Linked DNA regions of Caenorhabditis elegans. The protein of the gene in region 1 interacts with the protein of each later gene in a pairwise test. Each region holds a gene or a part of one and is shown in the gene's direction. Other genes may lie near its edges.

The links.
Region 2: the proteins of Y46G5A.20 (region 1) and slfl-5 interact in a two-hybrid assay, tested with the Caenorhabditis elegans proteins (2 studies listed by BioGRID).

Annotation. Positions count from the first base shown.
Region 1 is NC_003280.10:12,805,811-12,815,685, forward strand, and holds Y46G5A.20 (Nuclear receptor domain-containing protein), read left to right. Parts: upstream 1-5,198; 5' UTR 5,199-5,290; coding exon 5,291-5,477; intron 5,478-5,843; coding exon 5,844-5,986; 3' UTR 5,987-6,108; downstream 6,109-9,875. Other genes in the region: spds-1 (PABS domain-containing protein), read left to right, coding at 1,097-1,308, 1,931-2,051, 2,163-2,278, 2,596-2,810, 3,466-3,621, 3,876-4,021, 4,851-4,985; acl-7 (Phospholipid/glycerol acyltransferase domain-containing protein), read right to left, coding at 6,109-6,204, 6,260-6,376, 6,617-6,887, 7,119-7,210, 7,254-7,422, 7,730-7,860, 7,903-8,439, 9,338-9,448 and 1 more.
Region 2 is NC_003283.11:12,234,796-12,246,833, reverse strand, and holds slfl-5 (Tr-type G domain-containing protein), read left to right. Parts: upstream 1-1,789; 5' UTR 1,790-1,803; coding exon of another isoform or gene 1,804-1,833; 5' UTR 1,834-1,885; coding exon 1,886-1,947; intron 1,948-2,125; coding exon 2,126-2,525; intron 2,526-2,573; coding exon 2,574-2,804; intron 2,805-3,297; coding exon 3,298-4,053; intron 4,054-4,118; coding exon 4,119-4,233; intron 4,234-4,301; coding exon 4,302-4,504; 3' UTR 4,505-4,863; downstream 4,864-12,038. Other genes in the region: rad-50 (Zinc-hook domain-containing protein), read right to left, coding at 35-145, 201-249, 1,178-1,188; ttr-22 (Transthyretin-like family protein), read right to left, coding at 4,922-5,187, 5,236-5,404.

The DNA of each region.
Region 1 (9,875 bases):
ACAAAAACCCGCCAAATAGAACACCTTCTAATGACGTCACAGATGGCCAACTGGGCTGTCACACTCTGCGACTCCACACCACCCTACACTATCTCGCAAATGTCCAAGACAAAAATGTGTATAGCGGAGATGGAAGCCGCCTTCTTTGGCTGCAACGAGGAACGATTCTTGGAGAAAGGCCGATGGGGGCTCCATGAGCTCCTGTTCGACGGAGCGCGAATGCTGGGAGCAGCTGCAGGGATCAGAGAACACCCAGAGCAGCAGCATAACAAAAAAAAACCAATAAAGGTTTCGATTTCAGGAGAAATTCAGCTACACGGAAAATTTTCAAAGTCCCAACCTCTTATACTTTGGGTTAATTCTCGGCAGAATTACGAAAAATTTCGCAATTTTCGGCAACAGTTTCCCACTCGGATCGCTAAAGTTCTAAGGAATTTTCAAATTATTTTTTGAAAACTGTAGAACATTCAAAATGTGGTCGCTAAATTGTTCTAGTGCATTTATTTTTCCACTTCTACGATTTTAAAGGGAGGCGCATTTATGCGGATTGGTCTTGCCGCGCGTTTAGTCATCATTTTTAACAGTCTCTGTTCAAAATTCACGTAGATCACGCGTAGATCTCAATTATTTTGTGAAAAAGTAACAGAGATATATAATATATAATATACTCATAGATATATAATATATAATATACTCATATATATATACTATATATACTGTTACTTTTTCACAAAATAATTTAGACCTACGCGTGATCTACGTGAATTTTGAACAGAGACTGTTAAAAATGATGACTAAACGCGCGGCAAGACCAATCCGCATAAATGCGCCTCCCTTTAAAATCATAGAAGTGGAAAAACAAATGCACTATAACAATTTAGCGAATTTTTTTTGAAATTTTGAATCGAACCTTATTTAGGAACTCTCAAGTACCTGCCTGTTTAATTGCTCCCAATATCTTATCACCTGTCCATTATCACTATTATCACTGGTCACTATCAACTCCCAACCTTCTTCATCAGTCTGCTCATTTACCCCCACTCTCCCTTTTCTCTTCTTTTCCTGAAAAATTCCTTCTAAATTCTCCAGAAAAGCCATGAACAAGCTGCACAAGGGATGGTTCACCGAGTTCTCGCCGGATGACCTGGAAAAGATGAACGGAGCCTCCGACGAGGAGCCAACGAAGGTGCTCAAATCCGACGGACAAGAGATGGGCGGCGCGTGGCCGGGACAGGCGTTCTCGTTGCAGGTGAAGAAAGTGCTTTTCCACGAGAAGAGCAAGTATCAGGATGTGCTGGTTTTTGAGAGGTATTAAATGTGGTGTAGTCGAATTTTTTATTGCTCTATTAGACACGAAATTGTCTGAAAACACCGAATTTCATAAAGAAACTTCTTGAAATTTTCTCAAAAAAAAGTTATGATAGCTCAAAAAATGGCCTAAAATTAGATAAAATTTTTAATTTAACTTGTCAGCGCTGTCAGCTGGAAACAAATTTTTTTTTGAAATCACCGTCAAATTTTAGGTATACAAGTCATTTATCTTGCATTTTCAACAAGATTTTGGTATTTTAAAGTTGATAAACGGCGCGATTTTTTAATTTTTTAAACCAAATTTTGCCGTCCATCGACTTTAAGACACCTAAATCGAGTTGAAAACGCGAGATAATTACATTGTATACTTAAAATTAGACGGTGATTTCAAAAAAATTAGTTTCCAGCTGACAGCGCTGACAAGTCAAATTTCAAGTTTTAACTAATTTTAGGCCATTTTTTGAGCCGTCATAACTTTTTTTTGGGAAGTTTTCAAGAAGTTTCATTATGAAATTCGGTGTTTTCAGACAATTTTGAGAATAATGAAGCTATTTTAAAAAAATCCAGCACACCGCCTTAGAATTTTCAAAATTAATTACGGAATTCAAATTTTTTTCAGCACAACCTATGGAAATGTTCTAGTTCTAGACGGAATTGTTCAGGCAACTGAACGGGATGAGTTCTCCTACCAGGAAATGCTGGCCCATCTCCCAATGTTTGCCCATCCGGACCCGAAACGTGTAAGCTCGCTAGAAATGACATTTCTGGCTTGGAAAACTCCCTTTTTCGAGAAATTTTGATTTAAAAATCGCTAAAACCTCAAGATTTTCACTGAAATCGCCGCATTTCAGGTACTTATCATTGGTGGAGGAGATGGAGGTATTTTGAGAGAGGTCTTGAAGCACGAGTCCGTCGAGAAGGTCACAATGTGTGAAATAGACGAAATGGTGATCGATGTCGCGAAAAAGTATGATTTTTAAAAACACGGGGTTCTGGCCTTCCTCATTGAATTTTTCGCGCTCCATTGACAATCGCCTGCCGGACAACGCGTGGGAAAGTCGTGTACTTCACACGGACAAATACATTCATTTTTACAACTAAAATCGAGCCGCGACGCGACACGCAACGCGCCGTAAATCTACCCCAGATATGGCCGAGCAAAAATGCCTGGTTCGGCCTAAACTCTTCCATTTCAATTTATGAGGGAAGCCAGAAATCCGTGTTTTTCAACAAAAATTGGTTGAATTAACTTAATTCTAAAAAAAAATTTTAAATCTTTTAAAGGTTCCTGCCTGGCATGTCGTGCGGTTTCTCACACCCGAAACTCGACTTATTCTGCGGAGATGGCTTCGAATTTTTGAAAAATCACAAGAACGAGTTCGACGTAATTATCACGGACAGTTCCGATCCAGTTGGGCCGGCTGAATCGCTTTTCGGGCAAAGTTATTACGAGTTGCTGAGAGATGCGTTGAAGGAGGATGGAATTTTGTCATCGCAAGGTGGGAAATAACAAAAAAATCACTTAAAAATGAAGAAAATCGATAAAAAACTTAAGAAAACTTGAAGAAAACTATTTTAAATTAAAGAAGAGCAAACAAAAGTCAATAAGTTACAGCAAGTCATTAAAGGCGCATAGGCGGAAATATGCCAAGGGTCTCGCCGCGAAAATCAATTTATGGAGTTTTAACTTGATTTTGATTAAATTTTGAAGGTTTTAGCAAAGAAAAATATGTTTTGGGATTAGTTTAATAAATTACACTAAAAAATAAATTTGGAAACCAAGAAAAAAACAGTGGAAACTAAAAAAAATTAAAAATTATTGTTACTGTAGGCTATTAAAGGATCATAGGCGGCAATATGCAGCGGGTCTCGTCACGAAAACTAATTTATGGAGTTTTCAGCTTAATTTTCATATAATTTTGAAGTTTTTTAAAACAGAAAAATTCAATTTTAGGAGATTATGCTGAATTACATTTTGAAACCAAGAAAATCAGTGTAACGAAAAAAAGAAACTGGTTACTGTAAGACTTTAAAGGCGCATATGCTGAATTCGAAGGAATAAAATTGATTTTGAATTGTTTTTTTCGATTGAAAAACTTGAAAAAAAAATCACGTGACTAAATTTATTTCTTTACTCTAAAGAAATCCTTCTAGGCGAATGCCCATGGCTAGACATGAAGCTCATCTCTACCGTAATCCATTCGGCTCGTGACCTATTTCCCGTGGCAAAGTACGCGGTTGGCAGCGTGCCAACCTACACGTCAGGCCTGATGGGCTATATTTTATGCGCAAAGGATAAGGTGAACACTGGTGTGGTGTGATTTTTACTGTGTTGATTAACCTGATGAATGAAAATGCGCTCCATTGCACAATAACATTTCTGTGGTGATATGGTGTGATTAATATATATGAGTGACGTAACCACTTAAAAATAAATTCCCGCGGTTCCTGGAGGTCAAACGACTATTTCTAACCTGCAAACGCGCTCCATCGAACTCTCATGGTACAACCAACCCCTCTAATTGTAGTGCACCTCTAAAACTGTGTTAGTGAGTGATTTTCAGGAGAATCTGTGTGGCTTCACCTCCCACTAATCGCTCATCTCGTCGCCTTCAATCGAAAAATTTTCCCGGCCGTCACCTACGCCCAGTCGATCGTCTCTACCTACCCGTCTGGAAGCATGGGATACCTGATTTGTGCAAAAAATGCTGTGAGGAGAAGAAAACAACGAGAAAAAAAGAGAAAAATCACAATCTGATCGCGATCACCCCAAAACATTTTGCAAAATTTCGCAATACTTCACAATTTTTTTAAAAGCACGTTCAGTGTGTGGTGTTTGTGATTTTCCTTTTTTTTTAAGTAGCGAAATTTTGCGATTTTCAAGTGAAAAATACGGTACCGGGTCTCACCGCGACAAATTTTCATTAAATGCGAAAAGGTGTGCGCCTTTAAAGATTACTGTAATTTGAAACTTACGTATTTAGTTGCGGATTTTTTTGCTCGATTTTTTGGAAAAAAAATTATTAATATTATTAATTCATTTTTGAAAAATCGCGAGAAAAACTAGGAAAATCTATGAAAAACAACAAAAGTTTTGAACTGCAGTAATCTTTAAAGGCACATTTTCGTATCGAACGAGAACTTGTCGTGTAGAGACCGGGCACCGTAGTTTTGGCGCGAAAATTGCAAAACCTCGCGTTTGGATAATAGCAAAGTCAATTTTTTTTTCAATTTTTTATGTGGATTTTCAGATTTTTTTTTCGGGAATTTTTGTCTGCTTGTGAGAAAAATTTTTCCCGTGGTGCGAGAGTGTCTCATTTCAGAGTGATCTACGTAGATCTGCGAAAAGCGCGGGAGAAGAGACGCTGAGTTCCCAACTGATTTCGTATGATTAAGAACGTGCTGACGTCACATATTTTTGGAGCAAAAAATTCCCGCATTTTGTTTTAGATCAAACCGTAATGGGACAGCCTGACACCACGTGAGGCTACTTTCACTGTCGAATGAAGATCACCAACAAAATTTTCGATATTTTTAAGAACCGTGACGTCACGACTCCTGCTCGAACCCTCACTGCTGAACAGATCAAAGCCCTGAACTTGAGATTCTACAACTCGGAAGTTCACAAGGCGGCTTTTGTGCTTCCGCAATTTGTCAAAAATGCTTTGGAGTAGATGTCAAGAATTTAAAAATATTTAGAATAAAATCTGTTTTCTGTTTTACCTGTTTTCAATAAAAATTAATGTTTTTGAACCGCTCAACAAATTCCAGCTGTCCCAGGAAAAAAAATCAACAAATATTGTGAAATTCATGTTCTTCCTCACTCTAATTTTTGTCCAGGACATTCCCCTCCTTTTTAAGCGTTTTATCAGTTTCAGCACCTCCATATAACCCGTCCCCTCTCCATTTTGATATTAAACTTTTTCAAAAAGTGTACGTTTCGGACACTTTTTATTCGAACTGTTTTATTCAGCTCAAAATGGAGCGCTGCCCGGGGTGCCATTCTACAGCATGCGTTGGCTATTCCGGTGGAGATTGTTTTTACTTCAAGTTGTGCCAGGATTCGTTTCCTCGTCATGCACCGCGTCGTAGATCATCATCATCATCATCTTCTTCTTCTTCTTCTACTTCTTCTTCTTCGTCTTCCAACTCTTCAGAATCAGATGGTGGGTTTTGAACTCTGAGTTGAATTTCAGAGGAGTACCGTGTGTCCTCCAATTGTCCTTTCACGCCTCACTCAGCTGGGAGCCCTAGCGAAAATACGGTATCTGCGTGACAGAATGAATCGTTATTAATAAATTTTGCGACTACGGCACACGATGCCAGGCTGTCATATCACGGCTTGATCTACGAAAAATGCGGGAATTTTTCGCCCAAAAAAAAATGTACACGTTCTTAACCATGCAAAATCAGTTGAAAAGTCTGCGTCTATTCTTCCGCATTTTTCGGAGATCAAACCGAAAAGAACCATTCGTACCTAAAAAATCCAGGCCTGGATCTTTAGGAAGTCATCACAATTGTAATGTTTCCAGACCAAGTCGGCCAGCTGAGCACCCGGTACCAGAACCAGAACCTTAGTGAGTCATCTTCAGAAAGTTCGGTTAGCTCATCGGATGACTCATCTGATGACTCCTCAGATGACTCATGTTCAAATGACTCTTCAATGACTCTTTAGACGATTCAGACGATCAGGAAAACGATTATGAACAAGATGATTATTAACTTAAATTTCGATATTTTGCCATCAATCAAAAAATATACAAGATCATAGTTCAAAAATTTTTATTCATAAAGTTCCTATAACTTTGCCAAATGATTCTCCGACTGTGTGAACCTCTGCAATCGATTCTTGATTTGGTGGAGCTTCCCAAAGTTTGGCCGCATTCCGGTGTTCTGAATTTCAAAATTCTCGTACTTCCAATTAGTAGAACATTTTCAAACAACTCACCGAGTTCTCAAATACTCCAAAATCCGTCAGTGCGGCGAATGCATTTTTGATAGGCTCAGTTGATAGGAATGATAGTCGGATGTTGGGTAAGCGATCTTGATATGCTTCACTAATATTCTGCAATTCAAACGTGGAGTCAGAGTGTCTTATTGCGGTTTGATCTACAAAATACGCGGGAATTTTTCCCCCAGAAAAATGTGACGTCAGCACACTCTTAACCATGCGAAATCAGTTGAAGTCTGCGTGAAGTCTTCTCCCGCCTTTTTCCGAAGATCAAACCAAAATGGGACACTTTAACACCACGCGAATTCAGGAAAATTTAGTTATAACGGAGTCTCGTTCGGCTAGTAACCTCACCTTCTGCACAGTTCCCACCATCTCTGATAAACTGGAAACCATTGGCTTCTTCTCGGAAAACACGTTAAACGCTATCTCAAAATTATAAAAATATGGGAGCACAAGCTTGCTCAACACTTCTGCATTTTTCTCGTCTAGGATTTCGATTTTATTATCATCGGTGAATTGCAAGATTTCAGAAGCTCTCAGAATATCGAGAGTTGCGTCAAATAGTTGGGGAAGCTCTCCGGGAACCGTCACAAACTCTCGTTTCATTAGGAAATGGAGCCAGCTGAAAGTTGGTAACTATTATTAGTAACACGTGGTGCCAGGTTGTCCCATAACAGTTTGATCTACAAAAAATGCGGGAATTTTTTCCCCGAAAAATGTGACGTCAGCGCATTCCTAACCATGCGAAATCAGTTGAGAACTCTGCGTCTAAAATCCCGCATTTTTGGTAGATCACAACGAAATGGGACATTCTGACACCACGTGTAGTAGGGTATGTCCTATAATTGCTCACCAAAACTCTTCCTTCACCTTCGCCACGTCCGTTATTCCAGAATTTCTCAAGATTGTGCAAATGATGCCCTCACTGTCCACAGCATGTACCATCTGGAAATTGGAAATTAACAAATTTCAGAGAGCTCTAGCTCACCCCATTCGAATAGGTTGTCAAAATGAGCCGGCTCACTGCTCTCTCCATAATTTTGATAGGAACATCCTGCTTCTGATGAGCCACCGGAAAAGCGATAAATTTCAGCTGAAAATCGGGAGCGGAGCCTTCAAATGGCTCGAATAAATCTGCGTGCATTGTTAGGTAGTAGCTGAAACATTTAATTTTCAAAAGAGTCTTCAAATTTACTTGGCGAAAATTGCTGAATAAAATTTCCTGCATTTTCACGTGTTGTCAGGCTGTCCCACTGTTTGATCTACAAAAAATGCGGGTTTTTTTCCGCCCAAAAAATGTGACGTCAGCACGTTCTTAACCATTCAGAATCAGTTGAGAACGCTGCGTCTCAACTCCCGCATTTTTTGTAGATCTACGTAGATCAAACCGAAATGGGACACTCTGACACCACGTGCATTTTTCAAACTCCATCTTGAAGTTCACGAGAAAAAGGAAACTGATACCGTAAATTTTTGTCCAAATTTCCCTGAATGTTAACAACTGTGCCAAGATGATTTTGCAAAATGATAAGATTATTAACATCCGTATACAATCCGCAGTATGTGATAATCGCCTGATCATCCCTATCAAAAGTCTGCAAGAATGCCCTTACGAATGTCGAGAAATCTCGGCTCACCTGTAAAATAGCCATACACGCCACACTCCAGACCGTAATCACCGCATTCTGATTGTGAATTCCCACGACTCGATGCGCGAACCTTTTGATCTCCAGCTTCGCCTGCGCGTCGAGCACAAATTGTGAGTCTGGCTGACAGACAAACGTATTCCGGTGAAGGCTGACACCGAAATGGTCTCGGACGGAAATTGGCTCTCCGAATGTTAAGAAGCAACTTCCATGTGTGATCTTCAACATTTCCCGGGCTTTCAGTAGAGCTCCAGTTGACTCTTTTGGTTTCGGAAAGCCCAGAAGCTCATAAGCATAGAGCTTTTCCTCGAGGATTTTGTCATAGTTCATCGAAACCGGCACAATGACAATATCGTAGACGGAGCCACGTAGATATGGCTCCAGCACCATTTGGAGCATTCCATATTTGGGATGAAGAGATTTTCCAACACGGGAACGGGTGGCTTCCACGAAAAATTCGACGGTTCTGTCGTTATTGACAACGTGGGTTTGCACATACTCGGAGAAGACAGCCCAGTAGAGTTGGTCCTGGAAAATTGAAAAAAAAGCGTCCTGTCTAGATCGTACCCTTGATTTTTTTCTGCCAACTTTTCAGCTGAGTCAGCGCGGTCTACATATTTTTCGCGTGGTGATCTACGAGAATTGCGGGAATTTTGACGCGTCTAGACGCAGGTTTCTTAAGTGATCTTGCGTGGTCACATGTTTCTGGACGACAAAAAATTCCCGTATTTTTTGTAGATCAAACCGTAATTGGACAGCATAACATCACGTAGTACGGTTGTTCCTACAGTAGATTTTGTTCCGATTATACGACATTTAAAGGAGGACGCATTCATACAAAATGGTCCCGCCACGCGCCTCCTATTGATTTTTGGGGCGCGTGGCGGGACCATTTCGTATAAACGTGCCCTCCCACGTGGTGTCAGAGTGCTTCATTTCGGCTTGATCTACGTAGATCTGCGAAAAGCGCGGGAGAAGAGACGCTGAGTTCCCAACTGATTTCGTATGATTAAGAACGTGCTGACGTCACATATTTTTGGAGCAAAAAATTCCCGCATTTTTTTTAGATCAAACCGTGATGGGACAGTTGAGCAGCATGCGTCCTCCTTTGAAGTCGGAGAAATGGGAAAAATGCACTGTAGGAACGGCTGTATCATGTGGTGTGAAGCTGTCCAATTACGGTTTGATCTACAAAAAATGCGGGAATTTTTCGCGCAGAAAAATGAGACGTCAGCGCGCTATGTAAATTTGAAATCAGTTGAGAAGTCTGCGTCTAAAATCCTGCGATATTCGTAGATCAAACCAAAATGGGACACTGTGATGTCAGGTGTTATTTTGGTATTAAACTAGAAAATGGGTCAAAAAGTCACAGGTTTTTTTTTCCTTTTTTTCCGACCTTCACAATTTCAAAATTTATACATCTCACCGTCCCAAACGATCGTCTCATAAAAAATGCGCCAGACCGTCGCAACACGCCAGCCATAAACTTCATGCTCATAAAGTCCTGTCCCGCGGCAATCGCCGGCAATTGAATGTCCTGAAAACCGTCAAACCACAATATTTGCAGCCCAAAAGCGTGACCTTACATATTGAAAGCAGATGAGTGACAGGAGCAGGAAATCAAAGTACGTCTTGTGTGATGGCATAAAAATCACACAGTCCTTCTTACTGCGTTCTCGGATCTCCAGAAGCTTCTTCTCGTTTACATAAATCCCATCGTAAAGCTTCTCCATAGCCTTGCAAACTGCGTAGCCAAATGATCGGACATTATATAAATTAAAGGTATGGGACATCTCATCCAGGATCTCCTCTGCCTCCTTTCGAACTAGATCCGGACTGCATTTTCGACGAAGGGTCTCCTCGCTGATGACGCTCTGAAAGTTAAAACCTTTTACCTTTTTTGTGCAAAAAAAAAAGGATTCCGTCCGGTTGTAGTCTTGGAATTAACTCAAGTTTACTCTAGA
Region 2 (12,038 bases), on another chromosome or scaffold:
AAAAGTTATGATGCTCTAATCATATTGATCTTACCGTTTTTCCTGTTCCATTTGGTCCACTGATTAGTGTGCACGGAGAGAGGAAATCAATTTTGTGAACATCGTGGTCCTCATCACCGACACTTCGAATTCCTCTGATGTGTAGCTGAAATTTTCATAAATTTAGTATTTTCAGAGTAAAAATAAATTTGCAGACTTACGCGTAAAAATTTCGCCATAAGCAATTCCCAGGCTTCGATAAGCAAATATCTGAAACATTCTCATTTGCAAATAGGTTTATTCAAAGAAAAATGTTGCGAAATTAAATTAATATATTGATTCCGTTGGAAACTCTGGAAAAAGGACTAAGTAAAGTGAAATTCCTGAGTATTTTCAATTAATTCCTGTGTAAAGTGGGCCTTCTGCGTATTTTTAATTAATTTTTGCGTAAAGTTAAACTCTTGCATGAAGTAAAAAAACAGAAAAAAAACAATTTCGAAAACTGACAAAAAAACAGTTTCCGATTCAAAAATAGAGCGCAAAAACAAAATACGATGCTCCGAAGTTCCGCAAGCGCGTGTTGTTTAACCGAAAGAAGATTTCGATTTTTTCTTTTCCCTCTGCTTTTGATTTTGAGCTTCATATTAATTTCTTCATTCTGAAAATCACGAAAACTCGGTAAAAGCTTCCTGTTTATTTTAATTTTTGGCAATCATGAAATTTTTTTTCAAATTCTCACATGGTTAAAAAACATCAGTCAAACGATTGATAAGATATTTTCCGAACAACTGATAAACTCGTATTCTAGAAATCGTACAAACGGTTTTATTGTTGTTTATTTTGAACTGAACGTTTTTGTCTAAGGAAATGCATCATATTGCGTCACATCGAATGTTGTTCTTAAGAGTAAGGAAATATTTCGCAATTTTCTGCAACATTCTTTAACGGCTGTGTTCGGTCATTTTACTTGTATTTAGGGCTACTAACAGCCCCACTTGTATTATTATTATGATTTTACCTTTCGTTCCAGAAGGCTGAAATTTTAGAAATTCTGAGTAAGACTAACTTTTATGTTTTATTCCAATATATTTACTGTTTAAAAGTATCCTCCATTGTCACCTGGTATTTAGAATGATTATTAACCTGTCGAATGCACCTTCAAAGATCTCAATGCCCACCTACGTGTGAAAACACTTACTTCCTTCTCATTTCCGTCCGATCGTAATCAAAAAGAAACAGGTTTTCCTCTCTCTCATCATCTGTCTTCCAAGCTTCAACTTCAACCTTCCTTCAGTATCTTCTTATTCTTCCAGCTGTCCACTGCCAATCAGTAGGTTCATATTCCCGTAAAAAATCGCCATTTTGTCTGGTTTCTTTTGATTTGAACGCTTCTTTTCATCTCATTCCTCTCTTATTCTCTCATGTATTTGCTCAATCATTCAGCATGCTCACTGTGAAGCTTGTGTGTGCATAATTTCTTTTCATAGAATCGAGCGACGTGGAAATCGATATTTCTCACTGTTCCTTTTTTCAATATTGACAAATTTCCAGTTCAAAAGTCAACTTAACTTGTTGTTATGTTCCTCTCCGATTTTTTCTGTCTTATTTTCTTCTTTCGAAAACAACAGCGGCTCCCCTTTCCCACTTTTTTCTCTTCATACGTCAATTCTCTAAGTTCTCATATTTCTCTACAATCTCTACATGTTGACCGAACCAGTTAACAACTGACTTTTCAAAACCTCTCGAAACACGACATTTTTTTCTCAAGTACCCGAACCTCTCTCCCTATGATTAAAATTTGATGTTCCAGAATCGGAGAATCGAATGATAGATCGAATACGGCGTGAGCAGTAGTTATCCAACTGATTATCTCATTTCATAAAATAATAAACAACTCAATCTCACTATGGATTTTATGATTTCACATTTCTGCGATGAGCAGAATCATCAGCCACTTTACAAAACTAGGTGAGTACGATAAATATTGTGTGGTTAACATTTGAAAATTTTATTTCTAAAATCAAAATTCATTTATTTAAATTCCTTATAAAAAATAAATCAATTCTAAAACATTGATATAAAATCAATTCAATTTATTTAATGTCGCCAAATCATTTAAGGTAGTATATTATATTATTTTTTACAGACGACAATCAATATCGGACTCTAAAAATGGACCAACACTTCTCAGCTCTTCACTGCCAACTAACGATGAATGTTCCGACTCCGACACCGAAAACCGATTGCCACCTGAAACGGAGCTTGGAAATATTGAGTACAAAGCAAAATTAGTAAATCCAACGACATCTCGTATACAACATCTGATCACTCAAATGAAATGGCGTCTTCGTGAGGGTCAAGGAGAGGCTATTTATGAAATTGGCGTTGAGGATGGTGGAATAATGTCTGGATTAACAGACGAGGAACTGAATGATTCACTTCGGACCTTGAGAACGATGGCCCAAGCTCTTGGGGCGAGTATGGTTATTTTGACCGAGAAAGACGTTACTGTTAAGGGATCAAATTCACGGAGAACTGTAGTCGAGGTAATTATTATTGAGTCATATTTTATCTAAATGAAATTATTTTTCTAGGTACTTGTCCGAAAGGTTCCTGAAAGCCAGCAATTCATCGAAGTTCGTCTTGCTGTCGTTGGAGGATGCGATGTCGGAAAATCAACACTGTGTGGAGTGTTAACACAGGGTTGTCTGGACGACGGAAACGGAAAAGCAAGAATTGGAATATTCAGATTTCCACACGAAGTGCGAACAGGAAAAACCAGTTCTGTCTGTAATGATGTCATTGGCTTCGATAATCGTGGAAAGGTTAGAAATTTTTCGAAACATTCAGAATGGGTTAAAATATGCTTGAAAATATTTAAAAAAAAAAACAGTAAACTGATTAAATTGTAGATAATTTCTTTATTGAAAATTTTAAAGTTGGATCCTATTTATTAGGGTTTTTGATTTAAATAATTAAAAAAATGGACGGTAATACCGAATATAATTGTTTCAAAAAATCATAAAATTTTTATAATTTTTTCAATTTTGCAAAAATAAAAAAATAAAAATCTGTTTTTGAATTCCCGCCCAATTATCAAAAATAAAAATTTAAAAAGTTAGAAAGATTTTATAACTTTTAAAATCAATTAAAATCGATTATTACGGTCAATTTTTTTTTCATTCAAAACAAAATTTCAAAATGATTCTACTCCACTTTTGAATACAAAAACAATGAATTTAGAAAAATTTTATTTGAAAAACTTAAATTCGATTTTTTTAAATTTATTTATAAATATCTAATTTTTACTTTTTTCAGCTAGTCAATTATGCACAAAATAGTCTCGAAGAAATGGTGGAGAAGTCTTCAAAACTTGTAACACTTATCGATCTGGCTGGAGACGCAAAATATCAGAAAACGACAATTCATGGATTAACCGGATACACTCCTCATTTCGCTTGCCTTGTTGTAGCCGCCGATCGAGGAATCACGTGGGCCACTCGTGAACATCTTGGATTAATTGCCGCTTTAAACATTCCAATGTTTGTACTGATCACAAAAATGGATCTAGTCGATCGACAAGGACTTAAGAAAATCATCAAAGATGTTTCCAATCTTGTTGCGAAAGCAGGGATGACAGCTCGCGAGAAAAGAGTGAAAACTAAAAGAGACGCAGTGAAGGCGGCACAAGAACTCTGCGTTGGTAGTATCGTACCAGTTCTTGCTGTTAGTTCAGTGAGCGGAGAAGGTTTTCGTTGTCTCAGAACACTTCTCAATTGCCTTTCTACAGCTGGAACTGCAGAGTCACGTATTCAACTAGTTGGACTCCCAGCCTTTTTCACAATCGAGGAACTATATAATGTGCCTCATGTTGGACAAGTAGTTGGAGGAATGCTATCTGAAGGACAATTGCATGAAGGAGCAGATGTTCTTGTTGGACCCATGAAAGATGGAACTTTTGAAAAAATTACTGTCGGGTCGATTCGAAGAAGCCGGCAAGCCGTAGGATGTGTTAATCCTGGTGAAGCTGCATCGATATCCTTGAATCTTCCAGACGGTGTCAGTCTAAGAAGGGTAAGTATTTTTTTCCACAGAAAAATCATTCGAAATGTGAAACATATTGATTATTTTCATTAAAGGGAATGGTTCTTGCTGAAATCGATCATCAACCACCAGTTTGTTACGAATTCACTGCCAATCTTTTACTGCTGTGTCACTCGACGAAATACATATGCGAAGGATTTCAAGCCACAGGTGAGTACTTTTTCTCATTTCAACTTTCAGTTTTGATTTTTTCTGAAATAATTTATGAACTTTTTCAGTGTTTATCGGAAGTGTCTGTACAACTGCCATTATTACTCACATCGACGATGCAGACTGCATCCGTCCAGGAAAATGGGCTGTAGTTAAAATGTGTTTCGCCTATCAACCAGAAGTCATTCGTGAAGGATCACCAATTATTCTTCGTCAAGGAAAAACCAAAGGAATGGGAGAAGTATTAAAAGTATTTCCGTGCACCCAATGATAATTGTTAGTCTGAAAATCTCTAAATTTTACTGCCACCCCCCCCCCCCCCTCCCAATTATCTTGTATATTTTGTGTAGACCTCTTTTTTGTAGTCTTTTTTCACTCTCTCTCTCTTTGCCCTCTCCTCCTAGGTACCCGTGTGTTTACATTTTGCTCCGGGTTGATAATAGTTGTACATAGTTGAAATTGTACAATTCTGAATATTTGTTCACTAAGTGAACCTTTTTGTCTCCAAAAATACTCTAGATCCTCTTTTTTCTCTTCTTCCAGGTGCCCCCACTCATTCTATTCATTTTTTGTAGCATTTTTTGCGCTACTGCTTTTTTAGTTACAATTTTAAAAATGAACTGAATTCACTCTTCCTAGATGTCCCATTTCAATTATTCTAGAAACAAATTTATTAGGAAGTACACATTCAATGGATACAATCAGTGGTTTCTCCACTGAACTGATTAGCTAAGTTCAAAGTTCCAATATCATAATTATCAGTCGAGCTACTTCCAGATGCAACTGCATAATCAGGAATATTGATTGTCACTTTCTTTGAACATGGTCCATTGTAATTACAACTATGATATATATTCACTTTTGGATCCAATGTTAAAATATCTGTATATGTTCCAGAAACAGAAAATGTTCCATCAGATGAGGTGGTCGTCGAACCTAATTTCGAGTCATATACTGAAAAAATCAATTGTTTCAAAACAGTTCTTCCAAATAATAACTTACTCGTTCCATCGTCATACATCTTCACGAGAACTCCACTGGCTGGCTGTCCTTCACAAACCAATTTTCCCGTTACAGTAACACTTTGAGTGCTTCCGATAACATTGAGTAAAGCATCGGAGCAATGAATCAAAAAGAAAACAGAAAGAGCAATATATGTAATTGAAAACATTGTGAACACAAAATTCAGAGTGATTCTTGTAAGACATTTATATACTGTCTACAAGAAGTAAATAGAAACACAGTTCGAGTAAATATAGTCGTTACAAATTGTTACTTTGCTCACTGACTCAATAATTGTCACTTAAAATGAAATCATAGATCAACGACAAAGGATATAATTGGTTCTTTTTAGATAATTCTATTGTAAATATCAACTTTGTTCAACGACTAAAAGTCCATTTTAAATTTGGTGAAACGCCAATAGTAAAAACTTTTAAAATCACTATATGATGCTCACAACGGTAGAAATGACTCAGTTTTCACATTTCATAGTTTTGAAGGTTGACCAAAAAACTTTTAACTTGGATTACATTAAATTAATTTGTAATTGATTTGTAGGGTTTCGAACATACAAGAATGCTTAATGTGATAAAGTTTAAACTAACTTTAAGAACATACTGAAAATTACAAAAAGTGTGAAACATGCTAGTGATTAAAAAATAAATATTCAGTATTTTTGGTTCATTTGTATACTTGACGGAACTGACCACATGGTGTCAGAGTGTCCCATATCGGTACAATCTACAAAAAATTCTTAAATTTAGACGCAGACTTCTCAGCAGATTCCGCATGGTTGAGAGCATGTTTATGCTCGAGAAATTCCTGATTTCTCGTAGATCAACCCGTAATGGGACAGCCTGACACCACGTGACTGAATCTACCACACCTTTACACCAAGACTACTACGACAAAATACTATTAAGGAAAATATTTTTTGCTCAATAGTTTCCTGATCTGAAGCTATGTTTTTGACTTTGTCCACTGAATGCAAAATTATATTCTAGAAAATAGTTCAAATTAATTGAAGTGGATCTACGAACCTCTAAACTCTAGAAAAATAGGAAGGAGGAATTTATATCGTAAATTAGTGTATAAGGTAGAAAAAGTTCAGGACTCGAAAAAACATAATATTTTTGAATTGAATCGTAGTTGCAAATCACGTATATATTAGCAGACTATGGAAGAAATTGGGGTTTTATCAAAAAAACAAGATACAATTGAAAGCGATTCTACAAATGGTCCGGAATATAAAGTTATAATGCCCCAAATAAAAATCGAACCATCAATTCTCGATATGCAACGCTTTCATCACAGTTGATCTATAATTCCGTGACATTGAAAAATTGATTAAACAATGTGCAGCCGCATTGAAACAGAAAAATGTATCAACCCAAACATCGCCATACAAGAGAACCATGTGGAGAATTGTATTAAATTGTGGATTAATGAATATCCAGATAAATTCAAATGCACCACCAGGAAGACTTGAAATTGTGTAGAAGATTGTCATGCACATTATCATCCTTCCCGACCGATATCTTGAAATTGAATTTAATAGTTAAGTTAATAATCAAATCAGCTGGCATACCGTTCTATTGCATCTTGTCTACTGAGTGTCACTGATGCGAAGCGTGCAGATTTAATGATTTCAAACATTAAAAGTGCACCAAAAATTGGATAAACAATTGTGATGATCATCTGAAACCAAAAAATGAGTTTATGTTTTTGTATTAATAAATCTAGTAAAAATACTTCGAAGTTTGAAAAATAATCATTCAAACAATTCCAATACGATTCAAAAAAAAAAACGGAACTATTCTAAAATTGCGGGCAATAAAATTACATTAATTTTGAGTTGTTCCAAATTCTAATAATCTCAGATTTCCAATCGCATACTTGTCAGATCAAATTGCTACTCGGAAGTTTAGCTATATCCTAGAAAGCGTAAAGCAAAATCCAAAAAAAAATTTTAAAGTCTTCCTACCCGAAAACTCCCAGTTGTGTATCGATAATTGTCTATCGAAATAATAGGATGTTCTCCAATCTGGTGATCGTAAAACATATTAGTGAAGTTTTCTGGTACTCCCGTGCAACTGAAAGATAAACGTTACTTCAAGGTTCTTTGTAAAATGAATCTTTCTCACTTTTCATCCCATGGTGCACCAATCAAATCATATCCTGTATAATAGATACCAGAAGGAAGGGAACTGATCAGAATTACACCGACTACCAATAAATATCCAAATGAGTTACTTGACAAAGTCGGAGCATCACCAGAAAGTTTCATGAGAATAAATCGGATTAATGCTAAAAATAATCCCAAGGAAAAAGAAGATTTTTCAAAAGTATCCTTCAAAAAGTCTTTAACAAGAAAATAAATATTGACGTAATAAGAACTATTGAACACGCATGGATCAAGAAAATACCAATCTAGTTCAATTCTATCATTTAGTTTCCCAAATGCAAAAACAAGTCAGAAATTGCGATGCCAATTAATAAACAATTTGTACTTGATGTTCTTATTGAGCTTCTCGTTAAAATAAAAATATGTGGAATAGTCAAAACTAATGATATTATTGATAATATTAGTTGGGCTTTTAGAAAATAATCAGAGAGAAGAATAATTGAATACAATGTGTCTATGTCTAACTCATCGTTCATTTTTTTCAAATGAAAACCAAAGGAAAAGTGAGAGTTGGCAAAATTTGTTTTAGTGTTTTGTTTGAAAGTGAAAATGTTTTTACCATGAGCTTTATAAACAACTTTCTCGTGATACATATATCTCCCTAACAGCTATAATTACCAATTATAATTATATAGCAGCAATTTTATAGTTTGAGACAAAAAGTAAAGTTTCGGATTGTAAACTCCGCTTTCCAGATAACAATTTCAAAATTTAAGCTTCTGAAAAACTTATATTTGAATAAAATTGTGCTAAAAACGAGAAGTTTAGTTGTGAAAATATGTATGTACATTATTTATCAAAAGTATATTATTTTCTATAGTTTGCAACATTGTTCTGCATCATCCGCTTTTTTTGTGATTGTAAAATCAGCTGGTTTATCCGAGAAGAAAAAAAATGAGGTGAACGTTGCCTGAAATAATTTAAAAATTTATTATTTAGACTAAAATGTTCACCTACCACAAGCAATAGGCCTGAATTAATACAAAACGCAGTTGCCCATTGTGCCCGGCTATTCTCATCGTGAACTGTCAGAGCTACTAATGCTGGAACAAAGAATAATGCAATTGCTTTGCAAAATTGTATTGCAGCAATCACGACGTCCGCATACTGTAATGCCACGTATCTTGCACATTGATAATATCCACCACAGTTTGTAGACATCATACCTAAACATATACCATAGTTTTCAAAAATAATTTCAAAACGAACAGTTAACAGCTGTAACCAAGGTCATAGCCCACCAGCGATGAGCTTCATCAACAAATCCAACGATTCCAAATAGAATAGACACAATACCACATGATATAAAATTGAAAATTAGCATTTTAGTACGAGGACTAATAAATGTAACTTTATCACTAATATACGCAGCGAGTAATTTGAAAGGGATCTGTGCAAAATTGGTTATACTGATAATAAATCCAGTTTGTTCGATTGTAAATTTCAAAACTTGATTGAAATATATTGGAGAGTAGGTTATCAGAAGGATTGACATTGATAAATCCATGAAAGCATTGAACCAGCAACAAATTATTGCCGGATTCTTTATCATTGCAAAGTATGGTATTATTCTGAAGTTTCGGCTGGTTATACGTTTTTGATAAACTAATACCTTTTAGTTTCATAATGTTCAAGTGATTTTCCATCTTGAATATGTTCCAATTCTCGAGTCCCAACAAATCGATGAGTCGCTGGATTATCCGAATAAAAAAACCCATAAAATAAAACAGATAACACTAGCAATCGAGTGTACGTAAAATGAAGATTCCCATCCAAAAGATGTTGTGCAGAACTAAAATATGGGAAACTGAACAATTAGTGAATTAGTTCTTCCCACTTATGCTGCCTTTAGTAAGTAATAAAAATTCAAAACTTTAAATTTTATACTAATTCTAGTGAACCTACCCATCCCGTTAACGAATCCGTAATTGAGGTGGCAAACGGTGAGAATATCGTTAGAGCAGAGACGAAAAATGCGTTCTCGTCAAGCGGAGCCCATTTCATACAAATTATTCCAATAACTGCAAAGTCTGCTGCATAAGAAATTCCTTGAAAAAATCGAATGATTAAAAGTAGATAGAAGTTGGTTGAAGCCATTGTGGGAATTAATACAGTCGATATAAATGAGAGAATTCCAGCCGAGAGAAATGTGAACCTATTGGAATAATGTTAATATGTATTAGAAATTACTTCCAAAAATATTTACCTTGCTCCAAATTTAACATAGCACCAATTATATGGAACAGTTCCTAGTACAGTTCCAATTGCTACCGCCCATATTATTTCTGCTTTTTCATCACTCGAATAGTCATAAATATTGTATTCAGTCTGGAAATAGGCGTTAACTTTTTTTTGATTCAGTAACTTACTCCATTTGGAGATGTCCTAATACCAGATGAGTCATTCTTCATACAAATGAATGTAAAATTTATGACTGTATAGTTCGAAAATATACTCATTAGACAGAAAAATGCAACAAACATAATTAAAAATCGAAATATTGGAATATCTTTTACCATTGTAGGCAATCAGTCAAACCGAATAAAAAAATAAATTCTCAATTACTTCTCCATTCTGAACTATTTGAACTGTTTGATGAAAACCAATGAAACAAGTGATTATAGTCTCTGTTTTCGTTAATTTTGAATTTTGCTTGATAAGGCTGCAACAAAGATCAGGTTGACATATATTTTCAGTAATTTATTTTAACCTGTACTCTATCACTGCCGGCTATAATAAGTTCTTGAATAAAATAATTTTCCCGACAAAACATGAGTATTTCTTTCGAAAATAAAAGTGCAGGCTAATTAGAGATTATTCTGTAATTAACTGCATAATTTGTCACGTGCCATAGTTTTACATTCCACTACGTCATAGTTCTTAAAATACTAATCTCCTGAAAATAGAAGTAGGTGAAGAAAGTTTAATTATCAGTTCTAAAATGACAATTGATCTTTGGAATATGTTCTGAAACTACCGATCATTGAACAGATGCTATTTGAATGATATAGAATTGTATATTTGCAATTTCTGAAACGCGTTCTTAAAGGCACACAGATTAATTCAAAAGGGTCTGGCCGCAAAAAGGTTTATGGTGGCCGATTTTGAGTTTTGTGTGTGATTGCTTTTTCACAATCAGTGTTTTCAGGATTATGTGATGAACTAGATCTTCAAGTTTCGTTACATTTCATATGTTTTCGGAACTCACGAAGTACATATTGGGTATTGTGCTCAAAAAATTCAGCAATCAGCTTCGCTCCGCTGACTTTAGAACCCAAAAAAATAGTATGGCCAAACTGACTGTGTTACGATCATTTCAATTTTTCAATACATATTTAAGATTTCTAAGAGTAAGAAGGTCAAAAACTGTTCTGGAATACATATATATTTTTCAGGTTACAATTAGTCAAAAAGTGCACTGAAATATACGTTTTAATTTCACGAATAACCCAATTAGTTCAATGTATTTTTGGTCAACCAACGTTAAAGTTTGGCTTCCAACCAATTATCATTTCTGATCAACCACAATGTTTTTTCTTTATCTGCAAGTTAATTTTTTATTTTTATCCAGATGTTTGGCATATTTTTCAATTCTTCACTAGCGCCCACTTCTTGCACTTCCGGCGCCCTGAATCTAATGCATCTGTTGCAAGAATTGAAAGACCAATCAACACATTGTTTTCTTCACGAGATACTGAAGAAAATGAATAAAAACAGAGAAAAAGAGCCATGTGATTAGTGACAACTGTTGCTAACAGATACCATAGCTTGGACTTGGTACGTGATGGCAACGTATGGGTCAACAAAAATGATTGCAGAGGGGGTGCAAAACAGTCAAGTCGAGAAAATATGAAAAACAGAAAACAAAGAACAGAAAAATGGGTTTGAGAGTCAGTATAATTTATAAAAGAAAAATTGTACATAGAAATTAACCATTTTTGTAGAAGAAGTTATTTTTCAAGCATCGTTAAAAATTATTCAAAGCACCTTATTTCATATTTAATTTTAAACATGGTTAAATGAACAACACGGTGCGCAATCAGGAAAACTTGAAATCTGAAACTGTTGTTGTGATCTTCTTCGCAACTGTTCAGATAGCACTAGTGTAATGTTAAGAGTGCGCGAATATAATGGAATATAATGGATCACACCTCCTGCCATCAGGTAAACGTCTCTGTTATCACATATTTCCAACTATTAAATTTTTACCTTTTACAGTTTTACATTTTTTTGAAAAAAGTAACTTTTTGTCTTCAAAATCCCTGACGAAAATATCAAATATTTTAATCGAGACTGCAGAGGAACCGATTGATGATTTGGAAAATCCAGCTTTACCTGTGTAAGAACTGAAAAGTTTCATAACCCTAGGGTATTCCCAGTTACATTCCCCACTGGCTAACAATAGCACCCAGTTTTTCATCACCTTTCTTCAAATTTCTCGGCGATTTGTTAAAAACAAAATTTGTGTCCCTTCTCTGATATCTCTATGTCTCTAAACACAAGTTCATCGGAAAACGAAGGAGGGTAGGTGTTGGTTGGGCTCCCGAAGTGAAAATAGAAGAGCAAGAATAGAATATTAGAGAGAGAGTGCAGAGAGGGCGGGATAGCTCCCGGGATT